Linked DNA regions of Nothobranchius furzeri. Each later gene encodes a partner of the first gene's protein in a complex. Links are inferred from orthologs where the notes say so. Each region holds a gene or a part of one and is shown on either strand. Other genes may lie near its edges.

Region 1 (4,106 bases):
ATCCTGTTTGCAGCACGTGCAGAAAAAGTGTGTGAAAGGCAGCAACGCTTCAAATCTCATGACACATCTGCGCGACCATCACCCACAACTCTACAGTCAACGCAAGGCAGGCCAGTTGAGCACAGTAATACCATGGTCAGTAAACCATCTACCAGTGGTTTTGGCGCTGTGAGCAGGTGCCAGGTCATGCTGAAAAATGAAATCTTCATCTCCATAAAGCTTTTCAGCAGATGGAAGCATGAAGTGCTCCAACATCTCCTGATAGCTAGCTGCATTGACCCTGCCCTTGATAAAACACAGTGGACCAACACCAGCAGCTGGCATGGCGCCCCAGACCATCACTGATTGTGGGTACTTGACACTGGACTTCAGGCATGTTGGCATTTCCCTCTGCCCAGTCTCTGGCACCTTGATTTCCGAATGACATGCAGAATTTGCTTTCATCTGAAAAAAGTACTTTGGACCACTGAGCAACAGTCCAGTGCTGCTTCTCTGTAGCCCAGGTCAGGCGCTTCTGCCGCTGTTTCTGGTTCAAAGGTGGCTTGACCTGGGGAATGCGGCACCTGTAGCCCATTTCCTGCACACGCCTGTACACGGTGGCTCTGGACGTTTCTACTCCAGACTCAGTCCACTGCTTCCGCAGGTCCCCCAAGGTCTGGAATCGGTCCTTCTCCACAATCTTCCTCAGGGTCCGGTCACCTCTTCTGGTTGTGCAGCGTTTTCTGCCACACTTGTTCCTTCCCACAGACTTCCCACTGAGGTGCCTTGATACAGCACTCTGGGAACAGCCTATTCGTTCAGAAATGTCTTTCTGTGTCTTAGCCTCTTGCTTGAGGGTGTCAATGATGGCCTTCTGGACAGCAGTCAGGTCGGCAGTGTTACCCATAATTGTGGTTTTGAGTAATGAACCACGCTGGGAGTCTTTAAAAGCCTCAGGAATCTTTTGCAGGTGTTTAGAGTTCATTAGTTGATTCAGATGATTAGGTTAATAGCTCGTTTAGAGAACCTTTTCATGATATGCTAATTTTTGAGATAGGAGTTTTGGGTTTTCATGAGCTGTACGCCACAATCATCAATATTAGAAACAATAAAAGGCTTGAACTACTTCAGTTGTGTTTAATGAGTCTAATATATATGAAAGTCTAATGTTTACCAGTACATTACAGACAATAATGAACTTTATCACAATATGCTAATTTTTTAGAAGGACCTGTATATCGACGGAGAGCGAGAGAGCGAGAGAGAGAGAGAGAGAGAGAGCCCAAGACCAAGACCAAGACCAAGGCCTAACATAACCTTGGAGGTTGATGGCTCTGTGTAAGAGCATTGGGATAGATTTTGGAACGGCTCAGGTTCTAACTTCATGACAAAGTTGTAAATAGTTTGTTCCAATCCTTCTTCTCATCTGTGCGACATTCACTCTAACTGATTGGCCTGGCCAGCTCATCTCTCTGGCTGCAGCTTACATTCCCAAGTGAAGGAACCACAAACAATCAGAGAGGGTCCTGCTCTTCACCATCTCTGATTGGTTTAGACCAAGACATGGGTCTGTTGTTGAACAACAGGGAAACTATTTTCAGTGTCAGAGACTTTTTTTTTTTACTTGAAAAGGTCGCAGTCTATAGCCCTGCCACACTGTTGTGACAATGTTTGCTGGGCAGGTTTGTTCCCAAACCATACATGACACCCCCCCCCACCCCCACCCCCAAAAAAATCCTGGAGCCGCCCATGTAAGGTGCTATACAAACGGACCACCTACTGTAATTATCAAGTTACAGAAGTCATCACAAACTGCTGAGCCCTCCGCATGTGACCCATCCCTGCTGCAGCAGCGGCTGCGCTCGGTAACTATTTGGTGGTTGAATACTTAATACTAAATAATAATATCACAATATAATACTAATAGAGTACTTTTTTATTCATCCATTCTTAAACAGCAGCAAAGCTCGGGGAGACGATTTCCACACAGACAGGAGGTATCAGTCGGGTCAGTAAAGTAGTAAACACCATTTTTACCAAATAATTCTGGATTTTCCGCTCTCGCGTTCGGGAGCGGCTCACATGGGCAACAGCTACTGATGGATTAACCAGGAGCATGGACGTAATTTTGGGGGGGGACAGGGGGGACATGTCCCCTCCACTTTTTCCAAAGTCAAGTTTTGACCCCTGCACTTTTTACCATCCAAAAACAATATTACACTATATTAAATTGACACTGGTTGAGCTCTAGGACCAAGCAGAAAACAACCGTTTGTGTTGAAGCCTGTTTCCCATTAGAACATACTGTAAAGATACCCCCCCCCCCCCCGTGTCCCCCCCACTTCTAACGTGAAAATTACGTCCTTGACCAGGAGTCCCCTTTAGAGGTGGGAATGAGAAAACTGGGAGGCGTTCATTCATTTCTACGCCACCTGTGTTAAAACAGCCAACTGACCTGGGAGGGAGCGGGTTCTCCAGCAGCACCCGCGCCGTCTAAAGTCCGCTAAGTGCGCGTTAGTGATGAGCCAGCAGGATACTGGGCATTAACGTAGGAGATAATGGAGTGCTGCCGGTCTATTAGCCACTGAAGCACCGCGCACCGCGCCCGGCTGACTATTGTTGACTAGCGGCTAATTTAGCGGTTCAGAAATAAAGTCAAAAAGGTTACTTACCACTTTTACGGTAGCGGATGTAAATCCCAAAATGTTCCGTTGTTTTCCGTTCCCGGTTCACACCGTCTCACGTATCCAGCAAACTGCTCCCCTCGCGGAACAACCCTGCCTCTCCTGCCGCCCTCCTCGGTGGTTCAGACCGAGACGAACTTCCCGAGCACACAGGCTTATCGAAGCAGAAGTCTCCGCCTCCTCAGACGGGGATCCAGGCACGCTATTGGTCAAGCGTCACTCGTTCCCGTCACTTATTGGCTAAAATGGATGTCTGTTTCAACTCCAGGGTGGGTCCCAGAACGTTCAAATGGTGCGTTCAGTGTCAATGACGAAGTATGAGAATGTTTAACTTCCTAATGGGTTTTGATTACCAGGATTGCATTCAGGTACAACCTTTCACACCAAGATGATCCTTTGAAAATATTGGATAAACTGAGACATGTTTGAGTTAAATACTGCCGCCAATTAGTTAATTTTCTTTAAAAAAATTGAAAACAAATACTATGCATCTATGTAATCAAACTGTGTTTAAAATAACGGTTATTTTTAATAATGTTTAGAGTAAAAATAATATTGAAATAAAAAAAGTTTAATGATATAATACATCTGGTTTAAAAAAATCAATATTTTGGAGTTTATATTCTGGTCGGGTCATACCAAAGACAAAAAAATGGGACCCAATGCCTCCCTGCTTGACACTCAGCTTTAAAGGGTTGGATTGGGGGTTAAACCACCAACTGATGCAGCTCAACGCTTCAGACGGAGATGGGTCAAATGCAGAGAACAAATTTCACCACCCACCAGTGTGTATGACAACTGTTCGGACTTTACTCATTTAGTGTCTTACTATAGGCTGTAAAAATCTAAATACATTACTGCCTATTGAGAAAACACCAAATGTCTGAGAAACAAGTGGATTGAGGCTGCAGCCAGGCCCGGAGTGGCTAATCGGGAGGGTCTGGAGAATTCCCGGTGGGCCGCGCGATGTTTGGGCCGCATGCGGCCGGTGCTCTCGTTTTTGTTTTTTATCATTTTATTTTTATTTTTTGGTGCCGGTGTTCAGTCATGGCACTGAGGCCGCCGGGCTGATCACATACGCTCCTCCCGGCTGTCTCTACCTGCAGGCTGCAGCTCGTTGTTTTTTTCCCCCGTATGCGCCTGTGCGCACCACGTGACCACGCAGTTGACGGAAAGATGGAAAGTAGAAAGAGCAAGGGTGGCGCGGAGAAGGCAAGAATTAAAAAGAGGAAAGCGCTGGAAACAGATGCAGATAAATGTGCAAAAATGAGCACCTTTTTTTTCTCAAACAAGCTCGCGGTCTTTAACTTCAAATGAAGATAAAACGGGTAAGGCAAGTCAAGATGTTAAACTTTATCGGCTGCAAATCACCATTCAAGTTAATTAAGCATCAATAATGAATTATATGGCGTCATGACATAACGTTATGTAATATAATTAACA
Region 2 (3,998 bases), on another chromosome or scaffold:
CAAAGCTAGGGTCAAATAATAAACATGATTTTTTAAATAGAATTTTCAGACACTTTCATTCACTTATTAGCAGTTTAGGATTTGAATAAAAGGAAAATCTAACTTTGACTTCATAACAAGGAAAATAATGCAAGTTCTTCTCAAATAGGTCTGAGTAATAAATCTGAAATTATAAACTGCATTCATAAAACCATGTCAGGCGTTGTGAAATATTGTTCTGTTTTTGCTTTCATTTTCTTTCAAGATTAACAAAATATATACCAAACAACTTGGGTAAATAAAATGATCAACAATAGAAATTTTAGGCGTAAAAACACAAGTTAAAATGAAAAAAACCATTGTGATGTGTACATATTTCCATGAAACTTGAGGTAGGAAACATATTAGGCTACATGAAATTAACATTATAATTGCAGGCTTTTGCATTGCAAATAGCTACTGAACTCAATTTTAATAATAAATAACTCCAAATTTTGATCATCCAATGAATGAGGTGTGAACAAGTTGTTAAAATAGGTATCTATTTCCGTGTTTTTCTGCTTCACAGTTTGTTGCACATTGCTAAATATTATTTTGGTGGAAATTAAATATGTGGGTTAAAAGTTTATTATCATTTTTATATTTTAAGAAACCTGCAATCACATGAAACTTTCTTAACCCTCTGGAGGCAGGCGCTGCAGATTTGCAACAGTTAAAACCTACCTAACTGGTTACTCCACATACGTATTTCATGAGCATTTTTTTAACTCAGATGTATCCCTGAAAGACTTAGTTGTTTGTTCCTTTATCAAAACTTATTTTGAGCCTGAGAGGGTTAAATGCCTAGAGTATACACATTACATGTATTCCCTTAATTTGAACTGGCTTGCATAAAAGTCCAAAAAAGTTTGAAACTTGTTTTTCTAATATCTCAAAGGATGACATTATGTGTAGGAAATAAGCTTCAACTTCAGTTGGCAAACTACCTTTTCAAACTATGTTCACATTGTTGTGGGTTTGGTTTCAGACATATTTTTTCTGCATTTTCTCTCAGAATTTGCAATTACATTGTTTTTATTATTATTATTATTATTATTATTATTATTATTATTATTATTATTATTATTATTATTCCCCGCGGAATTAAAAAAACTCCTCTGGGGAACCTTTTCAGTGGTGGGATTTCCGTAAATACCGGAAGTTATAGGTGTTTGCAAAAATTCGTCCGTGCGGCAGAAAATCATAAGCAAAGATGGCGATTAATGCTGGACATCTGATGAGTTTAGCTGCTTTGCAGAGACACGATCCATACATTAACAAACTGCTCGATGTTACCGGTCAGGTTGCTCTTTACAACTTCAATTCAAAAGCAAACGAATGGGTAAGTAAGAGAATTTACCCTGGAAAAGTTTCGGGAAATATTTGGTGGAGAGCCAACAAAGCTAGCTTCACACTTAGCTTCTGAGCTTTGATTCAAAACAGAAAATATTGTTGTTGTTTTTTTTTTGGGGGGGGGGGTTGTTTGTTTGTTTGTTTTGTTTTTTAAGTAAATGTCTTTATTTGTTTAGTTAATTAAGATAGCGTTGTCTAGTATGTTGTTTTAACGCGAACACAATTAATGCATCTTAGGTACTTTCTAATTGTAAAATTTAACGCCTTATTAGCTTTCAGTTAGCTTATCACCCTCGCTAAATTTATTTAGCTAGTTTGGATTTGCGGTTTCTAGGTTTGAGTCGTTATCTCTATTTGTTCCAGGAGAAAACCGAAGTTGAGGGAACCCTGTTTGTTTATGCAAGGTAAGAATACCTGAGAGCCACGATGGTTGTTCCGCCGTCTGCGCACGTGAGGCCTTGAAATTTGTAAACAAAGATAAAGTGGACTCTGTGATTCAGTAAATCGAACGTAAATTACAGTGTTTAGAGATTGAAACTGAAATATTATGTTATAACGTTGTAATAAACTTTATTTTTAATCAGTTAAAGCATGAAGAACTAAAACGACCACCTACAAACTTTAGTTATAAGGAAATATAATAGACTTTATTAATTTTGTGGGTAAATTCACTCGTTACAGAAGCACATACACTTAGAGAATAGAAGAAGAAAAATAACAAAAGTACCAGTAAATACACAAAGGCAAATCTTTCTGTTAAAAAAATAAACAGGACACGAATTTGTTGTAGGTTACTTTGAATTGGACTGGGAGCTACTTAAATCAATAGTAAAGTTAACTGCTATCCTTTATATTAATTACTAGCACAGTAAACAGCTCCTGCTTTTTAGCAGGTAGAGACCTCCCACACTTGTGCCGACCCAAACCATAAAACTGTTAAATGTAGTTTCTGGTCAGCAGAGGGCTACTGAGTGCTGTCCCATGTGAAGATGTTCAACTTTATGGCTGAAGAACCACTGAAACCAGTTTGAAGGCAATAGCTTAAAGTGTCGAAAACTCTTTAGTATTGCTTTAAATGGTCAATTAAAAACAATCAAATGTGGAGTAAATATTGTACCCAAAGCAATGTGAAGTGCAATTAAGGAGGTAATGTTTTTCCTGGGTCCTTATGAAGGTCTGCCTCCCCTCACCATGGCTTCACCATTATGAATCGACTGAGTGCACAGAACCTTGTTGAGCCCATAAATAAAGACCTGGAGTTCCAGCTGCAGGATCCTTTCTTGCTCTACAGAAATGGAAACTGTGAGTGTTTTGAAGGAAATGAAACACTAAAGAAGTATTTTTGAAATATGTTATTTTTTCTGTTGTATTTTGGTGTGTTTGTGGTTTTGTTTCAAGGTGACTTAACATTAAGGACTTGTTTCCAGCACAGAAAAAGTGTTTAATAAATCTGTAAACATGTTTAATGACTTCTGAACCAAAATGAAAATACATTTCCTCCTAGTATAATAGCTTATTATTATTGTTGCTTTGTTAAATTCTGTTAGTCACAAAATGCTCATTATTTAATAGAAATTTCTGCAATTTTGGCATTTTCATAATTTTCCTATTTGAAGCATTAGTGATATCTTCACTTTTACATACAAATGTGTGTATTAATTATATTAACTAGCACAAACACTATTATGATCCTTAATTATATTAACTAGCATAAACACTATTATGATCCTTAATTATATTAACTAGCATAAACACTATTATGATCCTTAATTATATTAACTAGCATAAACACTATTATGATCCTACCTGTGAAAACAATAGACAGATATCTCCCCAGCGTTCGATGGAACACCTCTCTTCCATATTGCTTGAAGTCATTGTGACGTCTTGCAGCATCAAGCAGGAACACTTTAGCACTCATGGCCCAAAATGGCCAAACAGCAACTTCAGCTTTGCTAGTGAACAGTTATCTTTCTGCATTTGGGCAACCGTCTCAGAGTTAAGTCTCTGATTGGTGAATCCGACCACTAAGTTAATCCAGCGATGTCCTCCAGCCTTGTGACAGAGCAGTGTAACAAAAAGGCCGCAAAGTTTCTCAAATCTTCAAAAAGTAGCTGACTGCGCTGCCTCCAAGGTAATCTATTAGAAGTCTGAAGAGAAGCTTCATCAGGGCAACGAACAAGGAGTTAGAATGCTTTCCCATTTGTTTGCTTATAAGGAAAAACAGCATAGCCAGGGTCAAAGTTAGAGTCGACGGCTCCCCTTTTGGAGTTGGTTTGCACATCAGCCTGGCTGGGATCGAGGACATGATGAGGTTGGTATCCCAGTAAAACCAGCTTCTCGGATAACTTTACTTTAGCATGTGTGCTAATATTGTTGTTTGGTGGAGTTGCAGGAAGATAATCTTCAGGTTTCTCCCTGGCAGCAGACAGTCCCTCGCACACACACAGTCCACTAGATCTCAGTGTGCTGACTCGTTCTGTAGCCTGTTGCTGTAAAGGTGTGGCTGTATGAGTTTAGATTTCCCAGCTGTGATCCTGAAAGCGAGAGTAGTAGAAGAAACGATGAAGACTGAGCTGGCATAAAAGCAGGATCAAATAAAGAGCACAGGTTAGACACAAGTACGG
Region 3 (4,024 bases), on another chromosome or scaffold:
TTTTAATAACATATTCCAAACAGAAGGTTGCTATTTTAGCTCCGGATCGCTCCTGTGCTGACGGGACCTACGTCTTTAGAGGTTGTCTTTTATTTAGCTCAAATGATCTCTTCAGTGTTTAGAGGCTCTTCTTTTAAGTTTGCTTTGTACCTGAAATATTCCCAAACAGCATAAGTTGTTCTTTTTAGACACCCAAGTGGACTTCTCAGCGTGATGACATAAAAATAAAGTCATCACGACATCGTGAAGACTTTATGGAACATCTCAAAATTTGGACACATTGTAAACCATTTAAAAGAACTGTAAATTCAACCACTCATCTGTTATATACATTTACATAAGTTACATTTATTTATCTTTATTTTTCTTAATCCTTGTCTCCTACGTGCAGTTTATTTTTTTCATGATGGTATTGGAACTGACACGGTTTCCACTCTACAACAGCAGACTTGTTCATGCTGATCCAAGCTATTCAGGGCTTTTTTGCCCTGAGGGCTGCTTGCAAGGCATTCATTTCTACCAGAGGCCACTGCAAATATATTAAACCAGTTTCCCACACCTATAAATATCTTTGTTGGCACTTAATATTTGGTTCTTTTTGAAGTTTTTGAGTTGTCTAAAGCATAAAAAAGAACAAATGTACATTTTTTTCTTCAATATTTTTCAGGTGCTGATCCAGCTCTGTGCAGGTGCTGGATGAATCAGAACTGGAGCAACTTAAAGTGGGAAGAATTCAGGAGTTCTTTAAAAAAAAATCTTATTATTTTTTAATAAATATTTTTCAAAGAGCAGTGGTGTCAAGTTATTATGTTTTTTAAAATATTGTTAAAATACAGTTTATGTCTGCCTTCAAAATGTATGAATGTTTTAAACTGGTTTTGTAAAAATTATTTTAACGGACCAATAAGAGGTAGGCCTAGATTGTTTTTATGGTCGGGTTTAGCAAAGTTGTCCCCATCCTGCAAATGTAAATATTCATAAAACTCATAAACACTGAACATACCTATTTTGCTTTTATTTTACATGCTCGCTAATTTGACTGCGTTATTACCAAATACACATTTTTATTCTGGATTAGGTTTCCCCTCTTGCATGATGTGATGAACACCAAACATATTAGTTTTCTGAGCCTTACTTCCTGTGATAAAGTCAACTTGCAGGAAACGTGTTGTTGAGGTTCCTGTATACCAGTAGGGGTGATCATCAGTTCTGCGTCCTGAACTGCGTCGCCTCTCCCCCCACACAGCCTTTTTTTTAACTTGCAGAAGTGCGGATGTGAGCTGCATATTGATACCTACGGAACAGGCCGCCAGTTTTCTTGTAGCTATGCGGGCTTAAGCAATGGTCGTTCTGCGGAGCTATGAATCCCGAAGAGCAGACGGTAACGTGGTTGATATCGCTGGGAGTGCTCAGCTCGCCCAAGAAGAACATAGCGGACCCGGAGGAGTTTCTGAAGACATCACTCAAGGATGGGGTCGTCCTGTGCAAGCTCACGGAGCGGCTCATACCTAGCTTCACTCCCAAGGTGAGCTGCTGATTTATCAAGTAAATGGAGAATGATCAGCAGAGATTTGGAAATAAGGGAGGGGTTTGATGAAAGCGATACCGACAGGAACTTCTTGCACTTCACAGGCTCAGCTTTCTGTTTGCGAGCTTAGAGTTTCAACAGCAAACTTAGTTCTTTCGCGTAGTGAGTGTTGCGTTGGATAACGGGAGCATCTAGTGAGTTTACTGACGAGGGGTTTTCAGTAAGTGGCTTCCTGTGAAGAGATAAAATGTTACGCGTTCTTGATCTGAGTGAATAGGTCTATCAAGGCTGCACTAAACGCCCCCTGTTAGGGGTAGAATGGACAGAGGGTTTAATTAAAGTCACGGAATTTGGAATTGTACTGTGATGCATGTGTATTTTAATGTTAAGTCTGGCGATAAGAAAGTTGATAGTGATAACAGTTGCAAATTCAGGTCGTCACTTCCTCTTGAGCGGCTGCTCTTCCCAGTGTGTACGACCTCCCCAGAGCAGAAGACAACCGGAAGTTGCTGCTTCTGCTTTACTCGACTCACTCTTTTTAGCTAGTTTCGTATCTTTACTTTTGTAGTTTCATGTTAGACTCAATAAAAAAATTCCGGTTAATTCTAAAACCAAATAAGTATTTCTTCTTCTAATGTCTCAATCACCTCGTGCTCGTCAGTAGCACAAGGCGGACTTTTATTTTGAAGGGCAGTGCTGGGAGCGGATGTTTTGCTTAAATATGGCTCTTGGCGTTTCACTGGGGTTTATGGTTATGTCTGCATGAAGGAGACGCACGAAGAACCAAGCACTGTTTCAGATCACGAGCTCACCATTGTTGGAATGCCACTGCATCGTTATTATAATCACAAATGGAACTAAAGTGATGCTTGAAGCGGTTTAATGTGTGTGTCTGATGACTGTTTGGCACACTGAACCGATGGACAGTCTGTGTTTATAACGTACTTATTCCGTGTGTTCAGTATTGTCAGGATCCCAGAACTGAAAGCGACTGCATTTCCAACATTAAGGAGTTTTTAAGAGGATGCTCGTCCTTGAAAGTTGAGGTGAGTTGACTCGTTTATTTTATTAAAGGTGTGTAATTATGATAATAACATAAGTTTTTTTTATCTTCTTTATTCATCCCTGGCTATTGCAGTTTTCAGAAATATTTGTTAACCATCTTGAATGTGTTGTGATCTGCTAAGCACGCTGACATATGGTGTCATGTTTATATGGATCATGGTAGGGAACTCACTCTAAACTAAAAGAGAAAGATAATTGATTGCATCACGCTGTATAAGAAACACAAACACGAAGTTTACTTCCTCACAAACTTCTCTTTTACATTAAAATGCAAATGAATAAATGTTTGGGCGCAGGCTGAAAGCTCTCAGAGACATCTCTAACTAGCCTGGCCAGCATGCCTCCTTCTGTGTAGAATTAAACAGAGGACGAGACTGGCAGGCCAGGCTATCTCTTAACTGTCCTGGGTTGCAAAAGTATGTCCTATAGGAGAAAGAGTTGAATCATTTGCAGATGTTAGGAGTTTCTTGGTTATTTTACCAGCAGCTTCCACAGTGGACATTAATGACGTTTCCAGTGTTATAAATAACCTGTTTTGGTTTTGAAACACATCACTTGGTTTCTTTAAACAGTTAATTGAGTCAGCAGGCTTGGCTTGCTTTAGTGGTTGAGTAGTTCTGTCCAGCTGGGTTGTTATGTCTGGGAGGTCCTGTTAGCTTTTACCCGCCAGCTCCGCTTTAGCCCATAATTAGACCTTCTGCCACCAGTCAGTAGGTCAGTGGCAGATGTTTTCTGAGACGCTGTTGAATGTGTCAGCCAGAGGATGTCTGTGTGACTACTGGAGCTGGCCCTTACCTCAGTGATTATGGTTAAAGTATTTCTATCTTTTTTTGCTATGGCATTAGTGGCAGCTCACTGTGACTACACACACACACACACACACACACACACACACACACACACACACACACACACAAAAGCAGATATACTGCTTTCACTTCTGCTCTTAGATAAACAAAGAGGAAGAAGCACCGATTACTGATCAGGGCCTGTTTATTCACTCTGTGCTCACATTTATGATCGTACACCTTCACTGACATTTAGAATTGTATAGCATACTTTACTGCTACTTTCATAATTAGCATATTAATACTGATTAGTAGCCTTGACCTGTAATCTGTTTTACACACACACACGCACGCACGTTCGTACGTACGTACGTATGTATGTATGTATATGTATATATATATATATATATATATATATATATATATATATATACATATATATATACATATACATACACATATATACATATGTGTATGTATATGTATATTTGTGTATATATGTAATGTGTATATATGTATATAATGTATAATGTATGTATGAGCTTGTATATACGTATATTTTTAGTTTTTTCAGTTTTTGTTACAAAGTAAATTTTCTCTTTCTCCACCATTGTGTGTGCAATAAAGAACCAGAACTCAGATG
Region 4 (4,256 bases), on another chromosome or scaffold:
CAGAATCTGCAGAAAAACTCAGAAAATCCCTGAATATGGGTTTAGCAGCAGGGACACGCATATAAATAGAACCGCATGTCCAAGGATTGCTGCATAAATCTCTAATTATATAAATCTGAGTAGAAAATTGTCTCACTGCAGTAAGCCAGCGAGTTGACGACAAGTAAAAGATGTAGATAAGAATAAAGTCCTCAGATATGTCAAATGTTTTGTTTTTCTTTTGGAGAACAGAACAAAGAAACGTGTGCATAAAACTGAAACATGAATGAACTGACTAAGACGATGGAGTCAAACTTTTGCTTCTTTATCTTGTTTTTTTTTATGGATCCGAGCCTGAAGACTTGTCCTTTTTTGTGCGCAGCATCATGTGAGGAGGCTGTTGGAGGACAACATGGAACGCCCTCTATTAGAATGTGTCAGAAGTCACAGCTCGTCCTCGGAGCTCATTGTTCTGTGCCCTCTCGTGCACATTTGCGTAGGAAAACGGATGAAGAAGTACAGCTAAAAGCAACTTTTCCGGGAAAATGCCTCGGCCCTCCCCGGTGCACCGGGAGTTCTGTAGTTCTGAGAAAGATGACAAAAGAACACGGGGAACTTATTGCACCTGGAACAGCAAGAAGCAACAAGCCCGTCAACTCGAAAAAGTAGCTAAATTTTTACGTTTCCTGCTATTCCTGCGTGAATCTCACCAGGATACAGAAACGAGCCTAGAACCTAAAAACAGCTTTAATTTACATGAAAGGGAACATTCATATTTACACCTTTTTCCTCTCTAAACACAGTTTTTTTTTAAATGGCACCAGCTTTAATTTATCTCTTGCATCTGCTCAGTTTTGACATTTAAAATGTCATTTACACCGAGGGGAACGCCGCCGCTACTTTATGACTCAAAAACAATAGTTTGTTTTAAAACTATCTAAAGAATTATTAGCCAAGCTCGCTGCAATAAAAAGTGTTTTTAATTGTGGCTTCATAATCAACACCCCAACATTATACCGCCCTGTTCTTCTTCTGCTGTGAATAATGCAGAAACACATAAGAGAACTAGACATGCATGTTTCCAATAAGCAGCTGTTATTCTATTTTTGCTGATTAAAAAAAATGTGCACATTTAAATATGGAAAAATCCCACAAGAATAGTGGAATTTATAAGAAAGAATGAGTCAATAAAGACCTATATGACTTTGAAAGTATAAATTATCCACTTATCATTTCTCCACACTTACAGGCTTATGTCATTATTGACGTTTGGATTTTCTGCTGACTGGAAGCCAGTTAGTTAATTTATCTTGAGAAATCAATTAAATTTTTTTACTGAGTCTCTAACAGCAAATCTTCCATTTTTGCATCATTCTTGGATACATTTAGCCAAACTGAAATAAATAAATGACTCAAGTGATTATTTTCTACCTCTTCAAAAGAAGAATCCTCAGATTTGTTGTAATTGTTCCAGGTAGGTGATTGCAATATTGGTCAACTGTTGCAGCAGTTGTGGCATTTCCCATCCTTAACAGACTTAATGGATTCATATATTTTGTTTTTAGAATAAAATAAATATCAGATTTTCCCCCTTTTGCCCTTCAGATAAAACTCCTGTAAGGGGAATTCTGTTGTAGGGAGAGGAGTTAAGCGTGTTTAGGCTGGGTTAGATAAAACTTCTGTTTTCTGGAATATTGAATGTGTTACTTTAATAGGATGTGTGGGTCGGAGCATTGGTTTTATCCTGGCTGTCTGCAGAAGGACCCTTGATTTTACGATGAACAACCGAGTCTGCAACGCTTTAGCATTTTATAATGCATCAGCTGCAGAGCCCCAAACTACAAATATATAAGCAAAAATACAATTAAATGCATGTATTGCATTGCAGTTGATAAAATGTTTATCAGATCATCTCTGGACTTCAGTTGAAAGTGACCCTGTGGATCTCTGAAGAAATAAAACCTCCACTTTTGTAAATGAAACAGGAAAAAACAGCCCTGAATGTTCATGTCTTCTGTTTGAGCTTAGACGACTTGCAAGCTTCATGTCCAGACATGCCGATCTGGGTGTGCGTGCGCGAGACGAACCCAGAGCAACGTGATTTACTGGAGATGAGGTGAGCACAGAGGAGATGTGACCTCAGACCCGTGCGTGACTGGAGGCCTTTAGGGACCCACAAATTTTGACTCACCTGCGTTGTAGAACCGGTCTAAAACTGTGGTCTCCCCAAAGTCCAGCCTCCCAAAGTTGACAGTGTCCAGTTTGCTGCCCACCCGGTCGCACGCGTCCTTCAGACACTGCAGGGCCATGCTCTCCGCGTTGTTCTGCGGGCTCGCCTCGCCGTTCACCACGTAAGCCACCGTCACCGGTCTGCTTTTACCGGGCTTACAGGTGGACAGCAACCCCCCGCCCTCCATTAGCTCATCCCCGGAGGTGGGACTGACCCTGCTGCCTGGGAGCAGCGGGTCCTGCCAGAAAGTCCCGGCTGCTGGGATCCCGGGAGCGCCGCCGCCTCCTCCAGCGCCGGTGCTGCTGGGATGTTCCCCGCTGACGGTCTCTCTGCCGGAACAAAAGCTGGGAACCGGGAATGAGATTCCGTCCTGGTCTAGATTCATCTCGTTTCAAGTGTCAGTTAAAGAGTTGATCGCAGTGAGCGGCTCCTCCAGCAGTCCTCCATGGAGAGGCGGCGTTACGCACGGAGCTTCTGCGCAAACACGACATGCGACTGAGCGTTTCCACGCGGGTAAACAGCCTGCTAGAGGCGGCAGGGGCGCAGCTCCGCGTCAGGCTGCATGTTTCTGTTTGATGACGCCGAAAATCAACCGAAGTCAGTCACAACAACAAAGCGAAGGAGGAGAGGAAAGCGCAGCGAAATCCGCGCCACATTCCGCCTCAGCTCGACAGATTCCTGCGCTCCTCTCTCCCACAGCACTTCTCAAAGTTAGGCAGCGGAGCAGCAACGCCCACAGGAATCACCAACGTCACAGCGAGTCGAAGTTGGAGCTGCGCTACGTCATCTTTTATAAGAGACAGAGAGAGCGTGCGCATGCACTGACAGGCGCCTCGAATTTGCGGGCACACCCTGCCCGTTTCTGCTGTTATCTCTCCGAGCAGACCCACGCACTGGGCGGGCAGACAGCTGTAGGAGCTGGGTGGAGGCTCGAAGCTGCTTCAGGACACCAGAACAAGCGCACCTTCTAAAACCCATCAAGTTTCACACCAGAGCTTCATGAAAATGTCATTTAACATTCTCCCTCTCCTGATAATAACTTTTTGCTTTCCTTGACGTTGGATGTGCTACTACTAGTTTATCCGTTTAATTATAGATCCACTAGGATACATACAATAAAGTTTATCTCTCACCAAATAGAATATTTACTAAGACATCACAATATAACTATAGACACATTACTTTGTGTGTGTGTGTGTGTGTGTGTGTGTGCGTGCGTGCGTGTGTGTGTGTGTGTGTGTGTGTGTGTGTGTGTGTGTGTGTGCGTGTGTGTGTGTGTGTGTGTGTGTGTGTGTGTGTGTGTGTGTGTGTGTGTGTGTGTGTGTGTGACTGCTCTATCTTCTCGATCCCCAGTGAGTCATAGAGGATGGCTGCTTATACTGAGCCAGGATTCTCTGAAGGTTTCTTCCTGTTAAAAGGGAGTTTTCCTCTCCACTGTTGCTGCATGCTTGCTTAGAGGATTGCTGTATAGTCACTGACACTAGTCAGTGACTTGATGCAATTTTCTGGGTTCCTTATATAGGAAACATTATTTCTGATTGGCTTAATGAACTGACCTGAATTGGAATGTTTATTATGTGAAGTGCCATGAGACGACTCTTGTCGTGATTTGGCGCTATATAAATAAAATTGAATTGAATTGAACTGAAAATAAATCTAGTCCCTTACTGTTTTCCCCCCCTCCGTTTGAAACTTTCTCTGTTGTTGCACAGCAACGTAATGCCATCGCCCAGGCCCTATTCCAGGCAGGAAGCCCATTATCAGTTCCGGCTCGTGTGTAAAACCTGTAGAGCAACTGGTTGAAACAAACACCGAATTTTCCTTTGTGGAGTGACGTCATGGTCCCCGCACAGAAGCGTCGTGCTTCAACCTTTTCCTGTCTAAGGTCGCCCTCTTGTGGTCACAATCTGACTTTACACAGAAAGATGGTCAGTTTGCGCAAAGTCCTGAATCTAGGAGTGATGAGATGAAACGTAATTAATAACTAAATCCCTCTTTGCCAGGAACTCCATTCTAATGCAGCCATTGATGAAGACATTTATGACAG

The links. Proteins that work in one complex are often made in the same cells at the same time.
Region 2: pak1 (region 1) and dcp1a share a complex: the UniProt entries of both Homo sapiens proteins name them as parts of the cytoplasmic complex. The link is inferred for Nothobranchius furzeri from reciprocal best matches to the Homo sapiens genes PAK1 and DCP1A.
Region 3: pak1 (region 1) and arhgef6 share a complex: the UniProt entries of both Homo sapiens proteins name them as parts of the cytoplasmic complex. The link is inferred for Nothobranchius furzeri from reciprocal best matches to the Homo sapiens genes PAK1 and ARHGEF6.
Region 4: pak1 (region 1) and map3k5 share a complex: the UniProt entries of both Homo sapiens proteins name them as parts of the cytoplasmic complex. The link is inferred for Nothobranchius furzeri from reciprocal best matches to the Homo sapiens genes PAK1 and MAP3K5.

What each region holds. Positions count from the first base shown.
Region 1 is NC_091753.1:60,585,813-60,589,918, reverse strand, and holds the start of pak1 (serine/threonine-protein kinase PAK 1), read right to left. Parts: upstream 2,804-4,106; 5' UTR 2,652-2,803; intron 1-2,651. UniProt on the Homo sapiens protein: Protein kinase involved in intracellular signaling pathways downstream of integrins and receptor-type kinases that plays an important role in cytoskeleton dynamics, in cell adhesion, migration, proliferation, apoptosis, mitosis, and in vesicle-mediated transport processes.
Region 2 is NC_091755.1:32,995,952-32,999,949, reverse strand, and holds the start of dcp1a (mRNA-decapping enzyme 1A), read left to right. Parts: upstream 1-1,192; 5' UTR 1,193-1,231; coding exon 1,232-1,360; intron 1,361-1,734; coding exon 1,735-1,775; intron 1,776-2,545; coding exon 2,546-2,673; intron 2,674-3,998. UniProt on the Homo sapiens protein: Necessary for the degradation of mRNAs, both in normal mRNA turnover and in nonsense-mediated mRNA decay. Removes the 7-methyl guanine cap structure from mRNA molecules, yielding a 5'-phosphorylated mRNA fragment and 7m-GDP.
Region 3 is NC_091741.1:83,155,380-83,159,403, reverse strand, and holds the start of arhgef6 (rho guanine nucleotide exchange factor 6), read left to right. Parts: upstream 1-1,218; 5' UTR 1,219-1,360; coding exon 1,361-1,525; intron 1,526-2,490; coding exon 2,491-2,574; intron 2,575-4,024. UniProt on the Homo sapiens protein: Acts as a RAC1 guanine nucleotide exchange factor (GEF).
Region 4 is NC_091742.1:11,510,401-11,514,656, forward strand, and holds the start of map3k5 (mitogen-activated protein kinase kinase kinase 5), read right to left. Parts: upstream 2,807-4,256; 5' UTR 2,595-2,806; coding exon 2,171-2,594; intron 1-2,170. UniProt on the Homo sapiens protein: Serine/threonine kinase which acts as an essential component of the MAP kinase signal transduction pathway. Plays an important role in the cascades of cellular responses evoked by changes in the environment.